3 linked regions of the Tamandua tetradactyla genome follow. The protein of the gene in region 1 interacts with the protein of each later gene in a pairwise test. Links are inferred from orthologs where the notes say so. Each region holds a gene or a part of one and is shown in the gene's direction. Other genes may lie near its edges. The genes, in order: ZNF496, PGBD1 and ZNF446.

Region 1 (7,546 bases):
AAAAAGCTCAGAGTCCACACAGATAGAGACGTTTGGAGATGCAGAAAGAAAATGCTCCTGCGGAAGCTGTTTGAAACCAGAAGCCAAAGGACCACTTCCCAGCTGACAGAGGTGTTCCAGAAACCATCAGCCTTCTGACTCAAGAAAGGTTTACTCTGGATGCCTTAATTTGAACATTTTTATGGGTTTAGAACTGTAAATTTGTAACATAATAATAAATCCCCTTTATTAAAGCCAATACATTTCTGGTATATTGCATTCCGGCACACACTTGCAAACTAAAACTGTGCACTTCACTATATACAGTTCACTTTCAATATTATGCATAATATGTTATTTCCTTTGCTACATTCAAATCACATTTTCACTCTGTGAAATAAGCCTCACACTTTCCTCTCCAGCTCTGCGCACTGCTCCCACCAGCACCATGCTCTCCTCCCTCTTGGCTGAGGATCTTCCTGGAGCCTAGACACACACAGGAAAAGCTAGCACAGATTCCCACTGTCCCACCATCGCACTTCCTACTGACATGCCTTGGTCCCCAGTCTTTGCCCTTCCTGCTTCTCCCTCCACGGCAGCACTTCCACATGGGCTCTGGACCCCATCTCCTCCACCGGCTCCAGCTCCTGTTCTTGCCCATCCCCTCCCTCATCCTGGTCACGCACTGAAACTTCTTCCATTTTTAAGACGAAACCCCACTTCCCTTAGCTACTTGTCTCTGCCCCACTCGCAATACTTCCTCACCTCTTCTTTCTCTCCAAAACTCTCTGCAGAACCAGTCACCCCACTGCATTCCCTCCACTCACAGGGCCTCTGCTCGCAAATGCCATGACCAGGTTTCTCTCATCTAATTTGATCTCACAGCAGCATTTAACATCCTTGACACCTCCTTTACCTTGAAACACACTTGCTTCTCTGGGATTCCAAGGCAGCACATTCCCCTAGTGTCCCTCTACCTCACTCTGCCTGGTGTTTCAATATTGCTGTTTACCAGGATATAGTCCTTGGGCTGCTTCTCTACTTGGCATTCATTCAAGATCAGGGCCCCACAGTCAATCCCAGGAGTCAATTCTAGCTATGTGCTGTGACTCCCAGATTTCCACCGCCAGCTTCAGCTTTCTCCCGAGAGTCATCACTATTTAGGTATTGGCATCTCAAATCAACAAGTTCAAAACCAACCATGGTTCGCAACTCCTTCCAGAACCATTTTTTCTAACAACCCAAACTGAAAGATGACTCCTCCATCTATCCAAACCCAAAATATAGATCCACTTTTCACTCCTCTAACACCTTACATTAACCATCCAGGAAATCTTCTCGGCCCTGTGGAATCCAGCTACTGCTCATTAACTCCATCTCCATCTCTACCAGCCAACTCTTTAGTTACCACTACCTCTTACCTGGATTTCTGCAATGGCTTTTAATGGGGCACCTGCTTCCACTCTGGTTCCTCCAATCTGACCCCACAGTGATCGTGTTACGATGAAAATCAAATCAGGGCATGCCTCTACCTGAAACCTTCCGAGTGTAAACTCCAATCACCTCCACGGTCCTCTGTGCTGGCTATTTCAGCCTCAATGCCCTCATGCCATTCTTTGACATTGCTGAGCAAACTCCTTCTCCCCAGCCTTTTCACATGCCGTTCCCTCCACTGGCATGTTCTTCCTGCACACACCGGCAAGATTTGCCTTCCACTCAACTTTGCTCTCTGTTCAAATGTCATCTCATCACAGGTGCCCTACCTAACCTCTCAGCAATTTTTTCATAGTACTTATCCCAAATGACATTATATTGCATAGTCATTTATTCATTATCTGATTCCCCTTCCCATTTCTTAAATCTTGAAGTTAGGATCTTTCTTCTATTATGGTGTGTCTCTGAGGATGAAACATCACTGTCACACAGTAAATATTTCACAAAAATATGCAAACTCAACAACATAAAGCCAAATACAGATATAAATTTGATGGTGGCTGAGAGTGTTTGAGCAGGTTTTATGTGGGGGGTATTCCTATCTTTACCTGTGGTATCTGCTTCAACCACATTTAGCACAGAGGAAGACACCTTCCCATAGCCTTTAGTACCCCACCCTGAGCTCTCCGATGTCCCTCTCCCCTCTCATTGGCTGCTCTGCTCTGCCCACCTCAGGGTCTTTGCCTTCCTGTCTCTGTGGCCTCTACTTGGGATCCTGTTAACACAGCTATGACCTTGATAAACACCCTCACCTCAAAAGTCACCTTTCCAGAGATGCCTGCCTTGACCTCATACATCACATGGTTAGACTGGTATCAGGAAGGACATCCCAAGGGCCTAGAGATCACCTCCCAATAGCTGAGGTTAAAGGCCAACCTCGCTTTGGATTAAATTCTTTACTGCAGAGTACTCAATACATGTCTGTTGAACGAATGAATGAACTTTCCCAGCCCCCCAATAAGGTAGATAGCATCATTCCTATTTTCCAGACAAGGAAACCAAGTGACATAAAAGTTTAACAGGTCTGGCATCACCCAGTTAGAAGTGGCAAGTCACCCAGGACTCAGACTCTTAACCACCCTGCTGAGCTAAATAATTAGAAATGCAAAGTAAGGGTGTATTCTGTACTACAAAGGGTTAACACTGAGGGGGTCACCTGCCTAGAGAGGTATTAGTTCAGGGAAGAAACTGGACTGGGCAGTGGGGACTGATACTGTGCTGCACCAACAATCTCTGGGCCCTGCACTTTCTCTGCCTTTGTCCTGCAGAGAGCAGAGCCATGCGTGCCCAAGTCCCAAACACTGGTAAGCTGGTTCCCTGGCTGTCACAGGGTTGGGACTAGGTAAGGCAGGTAGGTTCGGCCTTCACTGATGACAGCTGTGTATTCCTGGTTCCTCCCTGGATCTCTCCTGCTGAAGAAGAGAAGTAGGAGAAAGGAGCTGTGCCTGGCTGAAGCTCCTCTGAGAGCAGTGTGCCTGAATACTGCAAAAGCTGAGGCCAGTTAAATCAGAAACGTGCCTTTCTTACTGGTTTTCTCCTGTTCCAGGTAAGATAAGATAAGTGACTCTGTCCACTTTTGGCTGTCCTTTTGGGGACTCTTCATGAACAAGAGCTTCATTTCTTCGATTTAGTCCATCTGCTGTTAAAGCCACAGAATCTGGGCATTTGACAAATGGTAGCTGGCAGTAACTGTTGATTAGGACGCCTGTGTTGTAGAGGAAGAGACAGACGGAGGCCTCCTGAAGCAAGGACACCAGGAGAGCAGCACTGCTGACGGACCCGGTTCTGGCCTGTCAAATTCATGCTCCCTAAACCTTCTTGGCCAGACCACCTTCTTTTGGGGGACAACTTTTATTCTCCTTGCCCTTGAAACAGGGTCAGAAAGAAAACGAAACCACGGCAATCCAGTCTGCTTGTGGCAGCTGGAGGATTTTCTGTTGTATCTTCTCCTACACTGCAATTTCACTGCAGGATGATGGTGAAAGAGAAGGGGAGGTGGTTTCCCATCTGCCTGGGAATCGGACCTTCTCAGGCCCTTGGGCAAAGCTTTCTCCAGAGCACTCCCAAGACTGGGAAATTAGGAAGACACCTCAGAGCCCTTATGTTATATTTCACCTGCGCAGGTTGGGGGCAAACAACTCTGAATAAAGCTGGAAGCTCTAAGCCCTGTTCACCCCTCACCAAAGATGACTTTGGATGGAGCCCCTTAATCTTTGCGTCCTCCTCAGTTGAAACATCCCGAACCCTCACTATTAAGCAGTGACTGAGCACCCCGACCACCCATTCTGGGCCGATAACATGGCAGCCCCTCTGTCCACACCACGTGTCGTTCTAATGCTCAGAAGGACGATTTGGTGGGTATTCCTGAACTGTGAAACCCCGGAAACGTAAAAATCTCAGTAATCGGTGTCACCCCGAGAAAGGCTGAGACCTCGGGCTTCCCTACAGCGTGGGACTATGGGCAGCAGAGAGGGTATCTGATCTGCTCCACTCCTTTCCTCGTGGGCTGCTGCCGACTAGGCTTTTAAGGGACATTTTAACCGGGAGGTGGGTTGGGCCTGCCTCGGTGGGTAAGGGAAGAAGTAGCTGAAGCGCGTCAGGAAAGCGCCGAGGGCGATTCAGAAATGGGGCCGCCCAAGGAGCCGCGGAGCTCCTCCCTGCGCTCCCCGTCCAGCTCTTCCCAATTCGGTGTGGAGCCGCTGCTCCGGGGTCGGTTCTTGGCGACGCGCCGGCGTCCCCTTAGGGAACTGCACGGGGCAAAATGGGGGAGGCAGATAAGAACCTAGACCTTCCTGGATCCGAAGCTTTCCCGGCGCGGCGGTAAGACGGCACCACACCAGCCCCCCCGGGCCGCGGCGCTCGACCCCACCGCGCCGCCCCTCGCCGCGCCCTCCGCGCCTCCCGCCTCCCGCCCTTCCAGCGCGCACCACACCCCCGGGGCTGCGCCCGCGGTAGGCCCGGCGGCGCGCGGCGCGCCCTGGGTCCCGCGCAGGACAAAGCCCCCGGCCGGGGCGCGGAGGCCCGGGGCCCGCGCGGGGCGGGGCGGGGCGGGGCGGGCCCGGGGCCGGGGGTGTCGGATGTCACCCCCGGCGCACACCTCGGCCGGGGGGCGGGGGAGCGAACCACTGAGATGCGGAGACCTCCCCCGTCCTAGAGCGGAGCAGGAAGTGTCCCAGGGGAGGGAGCCGGAGGGCTCCGGCCTTTCCTTTCCTCCGCGTCCGGCGGGCTCCGGCAGCCGCCAGGCCTGTGCCGCCCGCGAACGGGGACGCGCCGCCGCGGTGAGTGCCGGCCGCGCGGACCTGGCCCGGGGTCTCTGCGTCCCGCCCCGCTCGGCGCCCGCGCGGCTCGGCCCCTTCCGCGCGCCCGGCCCCGGGTCCCAGCCGCGCAAGCACCGCCTCCCATCCCGGAGCGGGTGTCCGGGCGTCTGCGGGCGGGGAGGGACTCTAAATCTACTGGTTTTTATTTTTTATTTTCTTCCCCAGGCGTCTCCATTTCCTCCCAGTCCTTCCCTCCCAGACGGAGAGGCGGCTTTCTGGACGTGCAGGAGACGGAGTCGGGGAAGGAGTCGGGGCCCCTGCGGAGAATCCGCCTCCGGAAGGACGCCGAGGAGCCTGGGCTGGGAGGATGAGGAGCTGCTGCCTTGGACTTTCACCGCAGCGGGAAGGATTCGAGTTAGACGCTGGGAAGGCGTTGCAGGCTGTAAGGTGAGAGTCCTGGAGCCGGTTGCAGCTGCGGGTGTGCATGAGGAATTGTGTGTGTGTGTGTAGGTGATGTATATGTGTGTGGGCGCGCGCGCTCTCCAGCGCCGGAGGATGTGTGTGGGTTTGTGAGACTGTGTGTGTGCTAGGGAGGATGCGTGTTGCAGAGGTGTGTGTGAGTGTGTATGGGTGTGTGAGGAAAAAATGTGTCTGTCTGAGAATGGGATGTAAGGCTTTCACCTTTCTCGGGCCCCAGATGCCCTCCCTTTTCTGTTCTGCTAATCCAGGTCTGGTCCTCCTCCAAGAGCTGTTTTAAACATGCCTGTTCAGGAACCCTTCCCTGATTAACTAGTTCATTCATCAGGCATTTGCTGTTGAGTCTCCTGTGAGCCAGGTGCCAGAGTGACAGAGAAGAACGCCACTGCCAGGCGATCCACAGGCTACCCAAAGGGCAGCTCTTCAGGGCCTGGGAGCTGAAGGTGGGACTGGTCCCCCCAACCTGCCAGAGTAGGGGCCGACCTGAGTGCCCGAGGGAATTGTGGGAAAGAGAGGGCCACTTCGGGGCCCTACAGGTTGGTGATGGCTGAGCTCAGGGAAGGTGGAGACCAGACTGGATTCCAGACACCAGAGCAAACTGAAGGGAGTCTAGGAGTTGGGTAAGCTGATGAAGCAGCTGGCCAGAGACCTTCAGACCCCTCTTTTCCAATTCATGCTTGTTTATTTGTTTCAGACATTTTCTATTGCAAAATATATATACGAAACAGCAAAATTTCAAAGTATATTGTAACATGTAGTTATAGAACAGATTTCAGAGTTTGGTATGGGTTACAGTTCCACAATTTTAGGTTTTTACTTTTAGCTGCTCTTAGACTCTGGAAACTAAAAGAAATATCAATCTAATGATTCAGAAGTCATACTCATTTGTTAAATTTTACCTTCTCTGTTATAACTCCTCTTTCTCCCAATATTTAGGGGTATTTGGACTCTCCCCTTTCTGTTTCATGTTGAAAATGGGTATCAGTGATCTGGGAGAGTGGAATGGAACTAATTGATATTCTTGATGAGGCTGGCCCTTCTGGATTTCAGGACTTATCTGGCCTAGGAACCCATTTGGAGGTTGTAGGCTTTTGGAAACTTTTGTAGATCTCACATAAAGCCCTAGATGTTCTTTAGAGTTAACGGGAATGGTTTTCATTAGGGATTGGCAAACCATGGTAGTTAGCAATGTCTAGCTAAAGCTAGCATAAGAGTAGCCTCTAGAATAGCCTCTTGACTCTATTTGAGCGCTCTTAACTACTAATAGCTTATTTTGTTACATTTCCCCCTTTTGGTCAGAAAGGTATTATTAATTCCACAGTGCCAGGATCAGGCTATCTCTGGGAGTCATGTCCCACATTACCACGGAGACTTTTACAACCTGGATATCATGTCCCACATAGTGGGAGGGCGATGATTTTACTTGTGGAGTTGGGCCTAAAGAGAGAGAGGCCACATCTGAGCAACAAAAGAGGTTTTCTGGAAGCAACTCTTAGGCATTGCTATAGGTAGACTAAGCTCTACTACAGAAATAAGCTTCACAAAAGCAAACCTCAGCATCAAGGGCTTGGCCTATTGATTTGGGAGTCCCTAATATTTGAGGCAGTATAAGGGGTTTCCCTCAATATTTGAGACAGTATAAAAGTTTCCCTCTTGGTAAAACTTAATAGTTCCATATTTTTTCTTCGTTCCTCAAGGGACATTGCCCGACATACTATGGGATGTATCTGGGCATTACATTATGCTATGCAGAATTAGAAGCCCTCATTCCCATTCTGGGCTCCTTGTGTTTGAGTTTGAGCTATCTAGACTGGTTAAGTTAGATTATATGGTACAGAAAATTTAGATTTTGAACAATATAAACCTCTCTTCCTTCACCTAGAATAGGTGAAATTCTGAAATACAGACAGTTGTCCTCCTTACCCCTGGATTCTGATTTACCTTGGTCCTGATTCTTTCGGTTTTGTTCTTATCCCTAATTGAAGCCTGATCTCTTTTTGGTTTCTTTAACAGTTGTTGTATGTAGCAATGCTGACTTTCAGAGCTGCAGAACTCCAACTCCCGAGTCTTAGGTGTCACACAGGTAGCCAGCGTTCTAGGGATATAACAGGTTACATATATAGAGCACAGAATCTCAAATTCTATAAATAATATTAAGATCTCTAGACTAAATGTAACCACTATAAAAGCTTACAGTGTAGGCCCCAGTTTTCTCATAGGTGTTTTGCACCACATAATGTCCCCAAGGTTCATTAACTTTATTCGGTCATATGTATACACCATAGTTTGCCATACTGCTTCTCAGTAAATGTATCCTTCAGCCACTCCATCCATTGGGC
Region 2 (7,974 bases), on another chromosome or scaffold:
CCCCTGCTCAAGTTTTTCCATTCTTTTCCCTATAGTTTCTGTTTCTTTTTGGAATTCAGATGTTCCATCCTCCAGTTCACTAATTGTAGCTTCTGTCTCTTTAGATCTACCATTGTAGGTATCCATTGTTTTTTCCATTTTTTCTTCTTTGTCCTTCACTCCCATAAGTTCTGTGATTTGTTTTTTCAGATTTTCTATTTCTTCTTTTTGTTCAGCCCATGTCTTCTTCATGTCCTCCCTCAATTTATTGATTTTGTTTTTGAAGAGTTTTTCCATTTCTGTTCGTATATTCAGCATTAGTTGTCTCAGCTCCTGTATCTCATTTGAACTATTGGTTTGTTCCTTTGACTGGGCCATATCTTCAATTTTCCGAGCGTCATCCATTATTTTCTGCTGGTGTCTGGGCATTTGATCAGATTTCCCTGGGTGTGGGACCCAGCTGGTTGAAAGGTTTTTCTGTGAAATCTCTGGGCTCTGTTTTTCTTTTCCTGCCCAGTAGGTGGCGCTCGTGGCGCTCGTCTGTCTGCGGGCCCACCAGTAAAAGATGCCGTGGCTCCTTTAACTTGCCAATCCGAATCTCGGAGTCGGCCCGGGAAACCGCGCGTGGAGTGGGGGGGTCGCCGGCCGCCGCAGCTTGGGGGAGTGCCGGTCCAAATTGCCCAGCTGGCCCGAGACGCCAAGCGTGGCGGGAGGGCCCCGCTATCCAACGTTCCCAGTCAGACCGGGGAGCCACGTGTGTGGAGGGGACCCCAGTCGCCAGCCGCCCCGGCCGGGAAAACGCGCGCCCCTCGGGTATCTCACCACAGCGGATTCTCCCTGCCCATTCAGCCGTTCCAGAATAGGGTATGCTGTCTTTTTGGTCTCTGTTGTGGCTCCGGGAGCTGTTTCCTATTGTTTCTGTTTCTTAAGTTGCTTTTCTGGAGGAGGAACTAAGACCCGCGCCTCTTACTAAGCTGCCATCTTCTCCGTCTGATAACCTTATTAATTACACTTCTTTCCCCCTGTTGGTCAGAATGGCATTGTTGATCCCATGGTACCAGGGCCAGGCTCATCCCAGGGAGTCTCTCCCATGCTGCCAGGGAGACTTTTCCTCTGGGTTTCATGTCCCACGTAGTGGGAAGGGCAATTATTTCCCTTGCAGACTTAGAGTCAGAGAAGCCACATCTGAGCAACAAAAGAGGTTGTCCGGAAGTAAGTCTTAGGCATGCCTGTAGATAGGCTAAACTTCCCCCCTATACATGTAAGCTTCACAAGAGCAAGCCTCCAGATCAAGGGCTTGGCCTATTGATTTGGATGTCCCTAATGTTTGTCACAGTATTAGATAATTTCCTAATGGTAAAGTTTAATATTTCCATATTTTTTCTCCCTTTCCTCAAGGGACTTTGTCAGTACATTTTGATTATCTGCTTACTGTATTTTAGGATGTATACAGGCATTACATTAAACTATACAGGATTAAAGGCCCTCATTCTTATTCTGGGTTCCCTGTATTTCAGTTGTTCAAGTGAGCTGTCCAGACAGGTTCTTATATTATGTACTACAGAAAAATTTAGGTTCCAGACAAAATAAACCTTTTTTCCTTTGGTGTCAAAGAGTAGGTATGGTTCTAAAATGTAGACAATGTCTTCTTTACCCCTGTATTCTGAATTACCTTAATCCCAATCTGATCAGCTTCATTCTTATCTCTAAATATCAGGTTATATATATATAAATATATATAACATATATAACATATATATATTTATATACATATATAAAATAGCCTCTTAAAATCCAGAAATAACAATTACCACTCTGGACTGAATTTGACTGCTGTAGGAGCTTACAATCTAAATGAGATAATATAATATTTGCTCTTTTGTTTCTGGCTCATTTTGCCTCAAGGTTTTGGTTTTTTTATAAGTCCATTTTTGACAAAAAAAAATTATCAGCTAAGGAGTCTTACTATGTGCAGGTTCGTGAATACATAATAGGATGTATTTTGACTCTGATCAGGCGTAGTCACTAATCAGGTGAGTCCCTCCCTCCTCCAAGTATACACCGATTCAAAGACATGTATCAGCAGTGGGTGGATAATACTTCATTCTTCTTCAGACTCACTCGAGTAGTTATAATCAAGAATGCTAAATCCCCAAGTATCCAAGGGCCTACTCCAAGGGATGGTGGTGGTGCCATTTTCTGAGTTCTTTTTTGTTATGCTGTGTTTGAGAGGCTTTTATAGGGTGTCTAGATACCAAATAACCAGAAGGAAACATGTATCAGGCACTCTTGATAGATCTGGACTGAAAAATAAGGAAATCCTCAGAATAAAGACAGTAATTGAAGTCACAAACACTCCTAACTTCTGGCCTGTCTCTCTCCTTTTGTTCAGTGTCTTACTTCTTGAAAAGAGTAATTTTTGCTCACTCTCCATTTTCTCATTTACCCATGTCAATCTGGCTTTTCTCTCCATTTCTCTACTAAAATTGCTTTCAAAGAAGTCATCAGTGACCTCTGTGATTTTGAATCAAGTGGATAATAAGTCAGGTCTCAGTTTAATTTACTTTCTTATAGCATTTCCCACTCTTGATCATTGCCGTCTTATAAATCCATTTATAAATCAATGAATTCCTATTCTTCACAATTATTATCTCATTTACCTCAAAACATCTCTGTGAAAGAGTGAACCCTGATGTAAACTATGGATTGTAGTTAACAGTATAATAATTTGCATCAGTGGTAACAAAGGTACCACACTAATGCAAAACCATTCTCTCTGTAAAACCTTTTCACCATATTTATACCTGACCACCTTTCACTTTTCTTTTAAGACTTAGAAGGATTCACCTCCAAGCTTTTTCAGATCTGCTGTGAGGAATTAGGTATCTTACCTCTGTGCCTACTAGCATCCTGTGCATACCTTCACAGTAAAACTCAGTGCACTGAATTGCAATTGCTTGTTTCCCTGAGGTGTCCTGAGAAGCAGAGAACTGTTTGAGGCTAGGGGATTGTCTTTCACCTCTGTGTCCCCAGCATCTAAGAGATTCTGGTAGGTAGTAGACAGATTGTAAATGAGATGAGTTATGCAAATCCTTGTGTTCTTTTAGTTAATTCTATTGATTTAGCTTTAGCTCATATATCAATAGTATACAGTCAGTTCTTATTATTTGCAGATTCCATATTTTTGAATTCACCAACTTGCTAAAATATATTTGTAATCCCCAAATCAATATTCACAGTGCTTTTGAAATCACTTGTGGACATGCATAAAGAGTGAAAATATGAGTCACCCTGTACACGTTCCAGCCAAGATCAAGCAAGGTGATGCTTTCCTTGTTCAGTTCTCATACTAAAAACGTTTTTGTTGTGTATTTGGTACTATTTTTTTTGTATTTTTTTAATTTTTGCTTAAAGTGGCCCTGAATGAAAGCTGTCTTATGTCCCTAAGCACAGGAAGGCTGTGATGTACCTTAGAGAAAATACATGTGTTATATGAGCTTTGTTAGGGCATGAATTACAGTGCTGTTGGCCATGAGTTCAATGTTAATGCATCAACAATATATATCAAATAAGGTGTCTTTAAATAGAAGTATGCATAAAACAAGACTATGTGTTATTTGGTTGATGAGAATATGGTGACCAGAGGCTCACAGGAACCTAACTCTGGATTTCCCTTAGGAGAAATGGTTCAGTTTTTACTAATTCTCTGTTCACAACAACTTTATAGACTACAACTACTGCAAATAATGAGAATTAACTGTATTTATTTTGTGTCTTTGTGTCTTTCCCCCCAACTTTTTGAGAAATTTCAAATTTACAGAAAAGTTGACGTACTACGAGTAGTACCTATTTACCTTCTCATTTAGCAGTAGTAGTGAATTTCCTGCTATATTTGTGCACTCTCTCCACACCAACCCACTCATACTTTTTTCCTGAAACATTTGAAGATAAGTTTTAGCATGCATTCTCCTGAGAATAAAAATATTCTCGTATTTACTACAAAACTGTTATCCCTCAGAAAAGACTAAAAAGAAGTTGGCAAACTTTTTCTTTAAAAGGCCAGACAGTAAATTTTTTTTGTATTTGCATGTCATAGAATTTCTGCACCTACTTAACTTTGCCATTGCAGTTCAAAAGCAGACATAGATAGTATATAAACAAATGGGTATAGCTTGTGCTTCAGTAAGACCTTATGCTCAACAAGATTTGAGCTGTTTTTGACTTGCTGGACCATAGTTTGCCTACCCCAAATCATAATATTCAAATTTCCCTAATTTATAAAATATATATATATATATATATATATATATTTCACACATTGATTGCATTTAGTTTTCTCTGTAATTCTAGACCTGTACCCTCTCCATACCTTTTCTTTATTTTTGTGGAATTGTTGGTTTTGAACAGTCCATGCCTCTTGTAGAAAGGGCTACATTCTGGATTAATTCAAAAGCTTCCTCACTATTAAATTCATGTCAAGCCTTTTAGAAAAATTGCTACATAGGTAATGAGGCACATGATGTCTGATTGTCTTGCTACTTGTAATTTCCTAAGTTTGATCATTTGGCTAAGTTTGTGACTGCCAGATAATTCCAGTTTTTCCTTTTGTAACTAGTAAGAATCCATGTGGTGATACTTTGATACTGCAGGAATGTCCTGGACCCCTACTCCATTCACATAGTGGTTTTAACAATCATTTGTGGTACTTCACTAGATGATTTACGGCTATGAAATGATGAGTTTGTATATCTATTATTCCTTCTATATTAGCTGGCAATCTTCTATAAGAGAGTTTTGTCATTTTTGTATGTGCCTTTTTTTAGGAATGGTTGTTTAGAAGAGATTAAAAAGGATAGTAGCTTTTGGAAATGCATCAACCCAAGAAGGGAATATTGCTGTTGTTATTACTACTGTTATTACTGTTTCTGTAACTCTTATTGTTACATGTTTAGGACTATCCCTGAGGAGACAATCCAAAGAAAATTCTCTAAAACGGAGAAAGCAGTTTAAAGCTGGAGATGGCAACAGTAGAGGTGAGTGCTCGCCCCCTGGCTCCCCAGAATCTGAAGGAGGAGGGGCTTTGGGTAGTGAGGGAGGATCACTGCTCTGCTTGGGAACAGGAATTCAGGCTGCAAAGAAAAAGCAAAGACCTTGGTCAGGAGATGTTGTGCAAACAATTCAGGCAGTTCCACTATGAAGAGACCTCAGGACCTCGACAGGCGCTGAGCTGGCTCCAGGAGCTCCGCCTTCTGGCTGTGGCCTGAGATCCCAGCAAGGAGCAGATCCTGGAGCTGCTGGTGCTGGAGCCGTCCCTAAGCATCCTGCCCGAGGAGCTGTGGGCCCAGGTGTGAGAGCATCACCCAGCGAACGGGGAGGATGCAGGCACTGTACTGAAAGGTTTGGAGCCAGAGCTTAGAGAAGCAGGACAAGAGGTGGTAAAGGTCAGGTTTGTTCTTTCACATAAAAGCAGGAAGTGAGACCTCTGACCAGTGGGAGAATTGCTAAACTTGTTTGTTTAGTTTCTTTCCAGTTTGGCTGTTCATTTCTGGGGGTCTCACCTCAACCTTATCTGTTCTCTGCTGTGAGGAGGCTGAATTGAATAATTTCCAGATTCCTCATCTCCTTTTCTTTGCTCCTTTAGGTTTGTCTTTGTTCTTTTTTCCAACATTGAAGTGTTTTTCTAAAGAGCAGTTCCCTCTTAAGCCCTCCTGTACCTAATTGTCCCTAGGACCCAGACCAGACAAAGAAACAGAAAATACCTGTGGAGGAGATGGCCCCTGTGAGAGCAATGCAGGAGCAGCAGGTCCAGCCGAAGTGTGAAGTTCAAAGGCCTGAAAAAGAGAAGGGTGAGAAATGGAGAGCATCTTCTGTTGTGTGAGATGTGGTGGCCATTGCGTTCCCCACTTGAGGCCGATTTAGCACCCTTGATACTGTGTTTGGAATCAGGTTTATTGAGGTATAGTTTACATACAGGAAATTTCACCCTTTTTAAGGGTACAGGTCAGTGAGTTATCACAAATGTGAAATGATAAGTCATATGATCATGACTGGAGCAGATTTGGAAATCAGATAGGGAAGTAGCTTGCTTTTCTTCCTTTTACTATAGAGATAATTTTTCTATAGTATTTCCTTTTGCAATAGAGAGGATAGAGAAAGTAGTGTTAGTTTCTCACAGAAGGCAAACAATCTCAGCCACAGGCTATATTATTCATTTTCTTATTATCTCCTTAAAATTATTATAAGTGGCTACTGTCTTTTATTTCTAAATGTCATCAGGATTTTTTTTCTCTACTATATTTTCTTTGTCACTAAAATTCCTCTATCCAATTTGTATTCCTTAAATTTTTCTTTTCTTCCTTCTATTCTGATAGAGCCCCACTTCTCTTTTTATTTTAGTGTCATCATAGTACTCCCATTGATGTTAAACTTAACCACCATAATTTAAACACAAATTCAGTAAGGTGGCTCCCATGTTTAAAATCTTTCAGTGCTGGGTAATGTTATTTTCTCTACTTTTTTTGGATGTTGGAAAAATTCTATACTAGAAAGTAAAAAACAAAAGTAAGGGGAAAAAAACACCACCTTCAGAGACTCCCCGTTGCCACTGACCAAGGCCTCACATAGCATGGGCCGCTATTGGCTCCCTACCCAGCCTTGTGTCACTAGGGTGACCAGTTTGTCAAGACTGTTAACGTCCTGGGAAACCCCTCAGTTCACACATGCTCAAACTGTGTTCCCATCATGCTGAGGTTCATTCCATTTCCCATGTGCTTCCTATCTCTTCTGAGTCATTGCTGCCTTGTTTCTTTTGTCTGGAACACTTTTTCCTCACTCTTCCTGGCTAATACATAGTCATTCTTCAGGACCTATCTTCGATATCGTTTCCTCTGTCTTTCCTTAAGATCCTCAAGGCTGAGTTAGTTTTTCCACCTATGTTCCTAGAGCCCCAAGATTTCTCCTGTGGTAGAACTGATTATATTATATTATAGTTGCTGGTTTGCTTTCCCCCCTCCCCAGGCATTACTTCCTCTTTTCTCCCAGCAGGGATTTTGTTTTGTTTCCTGAGTCAGTCCCTGGCCTAGAGTAGACACTCAGTAAATGTCTATTCAGTAAATGGCTGGTATTATATATAAAACTGTCCTTTACCTACTAGCTACTTCCCTATTTAATTTCCACGTCTGCTTCAAGGGTTACCTTCTGTGAGCCTTCTGAGTAAAGTAGCTGAAAGAGATGGACTTAACTTTTCTGAATAATCTTGCAGGAATTTATGCCATGTAATGATAGGTATGTATTTTAAATATGAAGAATTAATGTGATGACACTATATTCTTGAAAATATTCTGTATCTTTTGGATCTTATTGAATATTGTATTTTATGTCCAAAGTTCAGGTTAGTTTTTAGTTTCAGAGTTCGCTTCCCTTTTTGTTTTTATTCCCTCTCCTTAACTCATTCTTACCCTCATGAGGCAACTTCATTCTCAGTGATAAAATTAGTCTACATTTCTTCATTTTCAGTTAAAGGGTTATCCCTTTGCCATACCTTTCTTATGAATTCCAGTCCTTAACTAAGCTAGCTTTTCTACTCTCCTTGTGACAAACCATTTTCAAAAATGTACATCTGTACCCTTTAAGATGGTTTGTTTGTTTGCTAGCTTATGTATGTGCATGCATGTATCACAAAATAAAAGGCAACCTCTGTTAATTTCTTATGTATCTTATATAGTTTATACAGATGCAAGCATACATATTTTTCACTTTTCAAACATGTTTGATTTTAAACTTTCCCTCCTAGTTTATAGATTCCTTTCCCTAAGCCTAAATAAAACATGTGATTGGTGGTATATCTTAATATTTCAGATAAGGAGATGAGGACTGAGAATAGAAGGCTGGTTGTAGAGACAGACTTTTGTGGATCAGTGAAATCATCTGGGAAATTATCTGAGCCCATAGAAGCTCATTATGAGGATTCTAACTTGGAAAGGCAGCAGGCCAACC
Region 3 (8,086 bases), on another chromosome or scaffold:
TCTGGGGGCGTCTGAGGGGGCCCGGCCCAGGCAGAAGGCCCACGTCCCCGCTGTGTGGAGTCATGCGCTCGCGGGCCAGCCCGAGCCTGGGCAGCAGCCGCTGGCGCCAGCAGACGAGACCCTCGGGAGAGCCTTCCCCTGCAGCCCGGGCCTTGGGGCTGTGCGTGCCGAGGGCGCTGAGGGTTCCAGGGCGCTTCCCCCCGGGGCAACTTGGCACGAGCCTCAGGCTCTCCCCGCCGGCCATGCGGCCGGGGACGAGCAGGGCGAGGCAGCCCCCGCGGGTCCGGACCTCCTGCCCGGCGAGAAGCTCTTCGAGTGCAGTGCGTGCCACAAGGTGTTCGTGAAGAGCTCCGACCTCCTCAAGCACCTGCGCACGCACACCGGGGAGCGGCCCTACGAGTGCCCCGAGTGCGGCAAGGCCTTCAGCCAGACGTCGCACCTCACGCAGCACCAGCGCATCCACAGCGGCGAGACGCCCTACGCGTGCCCGGCGTGCGGCAAGGCTTTCCGCCACAGCTCCTCGCTAGTGCGCCACCAGCGCATCCACACGGCCGAGAAGGCGTTCCGCTGCGCCGAGTGCGGCAAGGCTTTCAGCCACGGCTCCAACCTCAGCCAGCACCGCAAGATCCACGCAGGCGGCAGGCCCTACGCTTGCGCGCGCTGTGGCCGCCGCTTCTGCCGCAACTCGCACCTGGTGCAGCACGAGCGCACACACACCGGCGAGAAGCCGTTCTCCTGCGCGCTGTGCGGCGCTGCCTTCAGCCAGGGCTCGTCACTCCTCAAGCACCAGCGCGTGCACACTGGCGAGAAGCCGTTCGCCTGCGCGCAGTGCGGCCGCGCCTTCAGCCACAGCTCCAACCTCACGCAGCACCGGCTGCTGCACACGGGCGAGCGCCCCTTCCGCTGCGCCGACTGCGGCAAGGCCTTCGCCAAGGGCGCCGTGCTGCTCAGCCATCGGCGCATCCACACCGGCGAGAAGCCCTTCGTGTGCACGCAGTGTGGCCGCGCCTTCCGGGAGCGCCCGGGCCTCTTCCATCACCAGCGGACCCACACCGGCGAGAAGCCCGCGCGTCGGTCCCGGGCCAGGGCGCCGCCCAAGACTCCGGCCCCCGCCACTGAGGCTGCGCAGGCAAGGGGTGCGGAGCAGAGCTCCGCCGCAGGCTTGGCCCCGGGCCCGAAGCCCCCCGAGGCCTGACCCCTCCGGACCGAGCCCGTCCTCTGCGGGGCACCACTTGCAGCGTGGAGGCCCCGTCCGTCCTGCATGCTAGCCTGGGACCCCCGGCCCTGGCGCTGACCACATTAGTGGAAGGTGGGGCCAGGGCCTGTGCTTGTGGTTCTCTGCACTGGACAAACAGTCCAGAAGAAGGACTCCTGGGGCCTCAGCAGCGGCCACATCTCTCCCACTCTGCTGTTCCAGGTCAGACTCAGGATCAGCCTTGGCACTCTCACGCCCTGATCGGAGGCGCTGGCGTTGATGCAGGGGAGGTGCTGGAGAGCAGACAGAAACTGGGAGGACTTGCCCCAGTGGGGGACCGCCTCCAGAGACACGCTCCCGACACCCTTCCCCCGGTGAGCCTGGGCACTGAGCCAGGTGGTGGTAGCCCAGTTTGCTTCCTGTGGTCTGCAGCTGCTGTGTCCTAGCTGGGGGGGCCGTAATCTCAGGCAGTGAGTGCTAAGATCGAGAGGGGAGGGGCAAGACTAGGGTTCACAGCTTGGAATGGATATAAGCTGTGATTTTTTGGTGGGCAGTGTTGATGGCTTTGCAGAAATCCAGCTCCAAGGTATGGTCCAGAGTCTAAAGATGCTCCCTTAATAAAGGTTTCTTTATAGCTCTGTGTGGACGATAACGGCCTGACACCAGTTTCACTAGCACAATGCAGACATTAAACCAACATTTGCAGGCCTGCCACTGATATGTGTCATTGTCACAAAGGTTCAGGGGTTCGGCTTCGGGCTAGAGAGGCCCCGGGGCCTGGTCTGCTGCCTACGGAGGGGCTAGGAAGCCTGTGTTCCTTCAGTGGCCATATGGGCCGTGGGGTGGTGGCCCTATCGCCGCCCCTCTCCTGGGAATGAACCATGATTCAGCCCCAGGGCAAGGGAGAGAGTGGTGGGCAGAGAACCGAGGCAGAGCTGCACATTGCTTGGTGCTGATGGAGTGGAGTGTACCTGTGAGGACTGCATAAGGCTGACCCCAGCTCAGTGGTACTCATGACTCATCAGCCCCAAGACTGCAGAACCATCCCTGTCCACAAGGAGCACTCAGCCTGACCCCTACCTGCCAGCCAGGCCAGACCCACCTGCCCCGTGAATCGCAGCCCTTCAAGGAAAGTGGGCCCAGCAGTGGGAGGCACCTGACTCCCCAAGGCTCCGGGAGTCCCTGGCCCACCATCCTGTCTCCCACGCCCTGTCTAAACCTCAGTCTTGCCCACCTCCCACCCCGGTCTGGCCTCCCTCACTGGGCTGGTCCCACCAGCCTCCATCTGCACAGCTGTGAAATCTAGAGGAGCCCCCACCCCTTCTGGGGGCAGAGGCACCTTATAGATCAGAGAGCAGGTCCTAGAGTGAGTCATATGGGAACTTTTCTGTGCCTTGGATGGAAGCTCCTGAAGCCAGGCCTTTGTCCTCAGTCCTCCTTACCCTCTGTCGACATCTGGGCTGGGCTCAGCTGCCCTTTCCTCTCTCCCTACCAGCCACCAACCCCCGAATGTAGAGCTCCTTCCTGTCTCTGCACTTCTGCCTTTGCTGCCCCTTGGCTTACCCAGGTTAAGTCTGTGTCCACTGCCTCAACTCCCAATAGCACCCATGAGCACCCGCCTGCTCTTTCTATCCCACTTGTGCTTCACCTTCATGTCTTGGGTCCTCAGTTGTCCCCCCCATACACACCTACTCTTGTCAGGTTGGGCCCTGACCTGCCAGGGTGGGCCCTCCTTTACCCTGAACAGGCCTTTACTGGGAAAGTGTCCCTGGGCTTTCTGGGTCATGATGGTGGGCTGAACACATGCCTCTCACTCAGCTCAGAAACACCTCTAAAACCACAGAAAAGGGAGTGCTTAAAACACAAGCCCATAAGTTTGAAGATGATGGAGTCAATGGCAATATCATTTTGCAGCTGGAAGCAGGTGGGGGAACTGTCACTGATTTAGAAAAAGCCAAGTACTGAGTTGGCGTTAAGGGGAGTACAGGGAGGTCCCACCAGGCAAAATTCCAGAAGGCTTGTGAACCAGCAGCTCCAGCACCTCAGGAATAGGAGAGGGACTACCAACAAAGAAGACAGGGAGAGCTACTTGAGAAGCAGTTCCATCTCCGGCTCTCTCCCCACCTGGTGGACGTGGAAGATGCATTTCTGAGGAATCTGCATAGTGAAGAGGAGAGATCTCAAGATACTCCTGTTGAGATCCTCCCCCCACCCCCACCCGGGAGAGTTCACCCTGATAACTCCACAGGGAGGCTCAGAGTTAGCAAGTCCCACCCACCCATGGACTCAGCACTTCCCATCCGTGTTTAAGATCACTGCTTTTCACCATAAAGCAAGCAGCCAGGGAGTTCCAGGAATCAGAGGAAGCCAAAACAGACAAATGCAATGTAGGATAGGACAGATAAACCATGGTTCAGCCATTTGATATACAGGTGAAAAAAGGATCCCATCTCATAGTCAGATTTTAATTATGCACTGAGATAAACTAGTTTTAGTCCCCGAAATAAATCAGTCTCTCACCAAAAGTTTGAATGGAAATCTCCATCTTTCTCTTTGCAGGGCTGATGTCCAGAGACATCAGAGACTGTGAGGGATAATCACATGACCGGGGTGCTCCTTTTCTGCCGTTACAGACAATACAACCTTGATCACCTTGGTAATTCTGCAAGTTTAGTTTAGTTTAATTTTAGTTTTTAAATAACTAATGTGTTCTCATTTTGGAAGTCAATCTCCCTAGAGTCAGAGAAGCTCATCTTGGCAAATAAGTGTCTTTTCTTTTCCAAACGCATTTGTCTCTAAGTCTTCCCTTAATTGCAAAGAGCCTGTGTTTCCTACAGTGTCGTATTCACCGAAAATAAGTTAGACTTTAAATGTTTATTAAAAATGTATAAATAGAGAAACAAAAACAAAAAGTAAAGCATCCCAATCTTAACAGGGGCAAATTGAGCGGTAAGATTAACTTTAAACCTTTCCCCATTTTCCAAAGTCAGTGAAACAATGTTGTTTTTACTATTTTGTTTTCTATTACTTACTTATTTCTTATTATTAGGTTTTTGTTTGTTTGTTTGCTTTGCATGGGCAGGCACCAGGAATCAAACCAGAGTCTCCAGCATGGCAAGCGAGAATCCTACCAGTGAACCACCGTTGCACCGTCCCGTTTCCACTATGATTTTGGAATGTCATGTATTTGTTAATGTCCTGAAAGGTCGTGGCCTACGTGAGGGCCAAGGTAGTCGCTGAAGCAGTGCATGGGCGCCCAACCGAGTTCCCTCACATCCATGTGGCACTCCGCGGGGGGGCGAATAAAGAAGCCCAGCGCCTCCTCGCCCTACGCTGGGGCGGAGAACCTCCCGGGGCGACCGAGAAACACCGCGGCCAGGCCGGTCTCCGCAAGCCCGCTCCACCTGCCCCGCGACCCACATGCCCCCGAAGCTGCGCTGCAGCCAGCTCGGGCTGTCGGGAACGCACGGGACGCTTTTCGTTTCCGCGGAAACCGCGGTTGCCAAGGAGACGCTAGGGCGGGGCAGGAGGAGCGCCGGCTCTGATTGGGCAAGCGTCAGACGCGCTTGCCAATCGGCGCCGGGCCCGTCTGGCACGTGCGCAGCGTCCCAAAGCAGCGTCCGGGTCGGTGTTGGTGAGGCCCGGGGCTCGGGGGCGCGGGGAGAGAGCCGCCGGAGAGGGATGGGACTCCCAAACTTTGTGACCTGCAGGCCCCGCGTGCACGCGCCTCTCAAGCACGAGCGGGCTCTAGAAATTCGCGCCCACCGGCCAAGGCCAGGCCTCTGCGTTCTACCTGAGGCTCATAGGAAATGTAGTTCGAAGGGGGCGGGGCCTTCGAGCAGGCGCGGGATTGGCCAGAGCGCTGTCGCCATGGCAACGGGCGGGAAGGGCGGTGCGCTTGCGTAGAACGGGTGGTCGGGCAGTCCCGGGTCCGGGAAGTGGCGGTGGAGCGCCGGCCCCCCGGCTGAGGTGAGCACGGGCTGGCTGGGCGGCGCGGCCGGCCCACTCCCCCCGGGACTCTTGGCTCGCGCGCTCCGGAGCTCCCTCTTGGGTCGCGTCGCGCCCTTTTCCAGGCCGTCCCTCCTCAGCCCTGGGCCCCTCTCCGTGACGACCAACCCCCTCCCCGGTGCTTCGGGCGCCCTCGGGAGCAGAGCCCCCGGAAAGGCCGGGCTGGGGGCTCCTCTGGCTCATCTCTCCGCCCCCGTCCGGAGTTGGGCGAGGGGAGAGTTTTTTAAAACTCAGCTTAAAAACTGCACCCATCCCTCCTTTTAGAGCAGAGCAAAGACTTGGTGGGGGTGGTTCCCGCCCGCAAGCCCTCTCTGCAAGTCCGGGTGCTGGGGCTGACCCAACCCCACGCCAAGCGTGTGGCTCTGATTTGTTTTGCTTTTGCGTTTTCACACGCACAGGCCTTGCGAGTCACCCACAGTTCACGTGTTTACAAGAACGGCGTCCCGTCGTCTCCCTGGGGGCACCTGACTCTCCAGCCCGTGTTCCATATTCTGGCTGGACATTCAGCCCCTCAGGATGCCCCGTTTGGGTTGGCATCTCCGGGCGCCACTCCCACCGCTGCCCTGCCGGCCCGCACATGCCACCTACTGCCCCCTCCAGCGCCCAGTCACTCTGGATCTGCCTGTCCCTCATTCTCTTGCCCAAATATTCACTCTCCTCCCTGTTCTGCCCAACACCTTCTGAGGCTCCTCAGCCCAATCTCCAAGGCCGGTGGGGACTCTCCTTGCTCACCTGCGGGCCATTATTTCCCAACAGTCCATGGTTGTACTGAAGCGTGTGCAATTTCCTGGAAGCTCCCTGGACACCTTATCCTGGACATACGGCCCCAAGGCTTTATTTTTTCTCTGATTCCCATGACCCCCTCCCGTCCACGAAGCCTCCCAGGCCTTACCTGTGGCCCCAGGGTCCTCTTTCTGTCTTAGTCTCAGATCTCTGGGCTTGGCCGGGAGCCCATTGCCTGGCATCCTGACCCTTCCCCTTCTGCAGGTCCCACCTGGTGACTCCAAGAGAGACCCGCAGCACAGAAATGCCATCCCCCTTGGGTCCCCTGCGCCTGTCCCCAGTGGACCCCATGGCCACCCTGGAGGAGCGCGAGGCCGCGCGCCTGCAGTTCCGACACTTCCGCTACCAGGCAGCGGCAGGTCCCCGCGAGGCCCTGGCCCAGCTGCGCGAGTTGTGCCGCAAGTGGCTGCGGCCCGAAGCGCACTCCAAGGAGCAGATGCTGGAGCTGCTGGTGCTGGAGCAGTTCCTGGGCGCACTGCCCCGCGAGATCCAGGCCTGGGTGCGGGAGCAGCACCCAGACAGCCCCGAGGAGGCCACGGCTCTGGTAGAGGGGCTGCAGCATGACCCAGGGCAGCTGCTGGGCTGGGTGAGTGTGGCCAGTGCTAGTTTTTTGGAGGGACAGACCGAGGTCAGGGGCCCTGTGACTCAGTTCTTCTTCCACAGATCACAGCTCATGTGCTGGGCCTGGAGGTGCTCCCAGCAGCCCAGAAGACAGAGGAACCCCTGGGGAGCCCCCACCCCTCAGGGATGGTGAAGCCTGCTGAGGCAGCCCCCCGGGAGGGGACACAGGGCACAGGGGAGAAGCCCAGCCAGCTCGGAGTGAAGGAGGAGCCAGATGCCAACCGGCAGGACATGGGTGAGGGAGCCCTGCGCAGGGGCTGGGGCCTCCTGGATGGAACGGAGTAGGGGTCCTGGGGAGGGACATAGGGTTGCTGCCCACCATGTGGCTGGCACAGGCAGTGCCTTTTGCCTGGCCGTTGGGGAAGGCTGGAGTAGTAGCATCAACACCTGCCCTCCCCTGCGCTGTCATGGGCAGTCCCTACCCCTCTGCCCAACTTGCTCCCTAGGACCTCCAGGGCCCCCGCTTCCAGTCCGGCCTTCTGAGGGATGTGTTGGAAGCGAAGAGCCAGCCTCTGGGTCTTGTCTCCCACCCAGGATTCAGGTGAGTAGCCCTGGGGGAGGTTCAGAGGTCCCAGGTAGGAGGAGTATGTCCCTGGTGGCCGCTCCACATCCTCCCAATTCTCCTGGACCCCAGGCCAGCAGCTTTTGGTTCTTCGCTGCCTGGGAGTTGGGTCACTGTCAGCAGGGACCGCTGTCAGCAGGCCCTTGGGGACAGGGAGGCAGGCCAGCAGCCTCTCTTCCATGGCAAAGGATTTCAGCACAGGCAACAGAAACTGGTTAGAGTAGCTGGAACTCCAGTGGTTGAGGCGGGAGGCTCTCAGGTGCCTGGCGCTGTGCTGGCATCGAGGGGGGTGAGGTGACTGACCCGGTTGGGAATTCTGCATGGCAAGCACAGAGATGCCACCCTTCCTGGGACATTCTCACAGCCGGCCCTTTCCTGGGGGCTTCTTTAAGTCTAAACAGCCATAGCAGCCCCCAGGCCCAGGAGCGCTTGCCACCTGCAGAGAGGCTTGGAGGGAGGTGGCGAGTTGCTGGGGCCTGGGGGGGTCCTGCATGTCCTCTGACTTGCCCCTGTGTGTGACTGTTGAGGCTGGAGTGGCAGGAGGGGTGGGTGGGGCTCGCCACATTGTCCCTGCTGCCTGGGGCGCTGGCGGTCCCCAGGGCTGGTCTAGGGGTCTTCGGTAGAACATGGGGCGAGTGTAGCCAGGCGGGGAGGTAGGACCACGTGTCTGGGTTCCAGCCTTAGCCCTCTTGCCCCCCGGAGAGCCCAGCGCGGTGTCCAGGTTGGGATGGGCTGGCTGTGAGCAGGGTGCCTTCCGCAGAAGGAGTGGAGCCAGTTGGATGCCTCGCAGAAGGAGCTGTACTGGGACGCGATGCTGGAGAAGTACGGGACGGTGGTTTCCCTGGGTGAGGACCCCCAGGCCGTGTCTCCCACCTCACCGCCTCATCCTGGCCCGGCAGTCCCCGCCTGTCTGCAGG

What was found.
Region 2: the proteins of ZNF496 (region 1) and PGBD1 interact in binary tests that used the Homo sapiens proteins (3 or more experiments, as listed by UniProt). The two-hybrid records come from large-scale screens. The link is inferred for Tamandua tetradactyla from reciprocal best matches to the Homo sapiens genes ZNF496 and PGBD1.
Region 3: the proteins of ZNF496 (region 1) and ZNF446 interact in binary tests that used the Homo sapiens proteins (3 or more experiments, as listed by UniProt). The two-hybrid records come from large-scale screens. The link is inferred for Tamandua tetradactyla from reciprocal best matches to the Homo sapiens genes ZNF496 and ZNF446.

The regions. Positions count from the first base shown.
Region 1 is NC_135346.1:61,784,816-61,792,361, reverse strand, and holds the start of ZNF496 (zinc finger protein 496), read left to right. Parts: upstream 1-4,540; 5' UTR 4,541-4,751; intron 4,752-4,955; 5' UTR 4,956-5,177; intron 5,178-7,546. UniProt on the Homo sapiens protein: DNA-binding transcription factor that can both act as an activator and a repressor.
Region 2 is NC_135331.1:194,888,167-194,896,140, reverse strand, and holds the start of PGBD1 (piggyBac transposable element-derived protein 1), read left to right. Parts: upstream 1-4,929; 5' UTR 4,930-4,997; coding exon of another isoform or gene 4,998-5,012; intron 5,013-5,707; coding exon of another isoform or gene 5,708-5,825; intron 5,826-7,836; coding exon of another isoform or gene 7,837-7,974. Other genes in the region: ZSCAN26 (zinc finger and SCAN domain-containing protein 26), read left to right, coding at 4,998-5,012, 5,708-5,825, 7,837-7,974.
Region 3 is NC_135342.1:176,441-184,526, reverse strand, and holds the start of ZNF446 (zinc finger protein 446), read left to right. Parts: upstream 1-5,084; 5' UTR 5,085-5,164; intron 5,165-6,190; 5' UTR 6,191-6,230; coding exon 6,231-6,572; intron 6,573-6,649; coding exon 6,650-6,842; intron 6,843-7,053; coding exon 7,054-7,148; intron 7,149-7,929; coding exon 7,930-8,014; intron 8,015-8,086. Other genes in the region: uncharacterized protein LOC143658493, read left to right, coding at 1-1,195. UniProt on the Homo sapiens protein: May be involved in transcriptional regulation.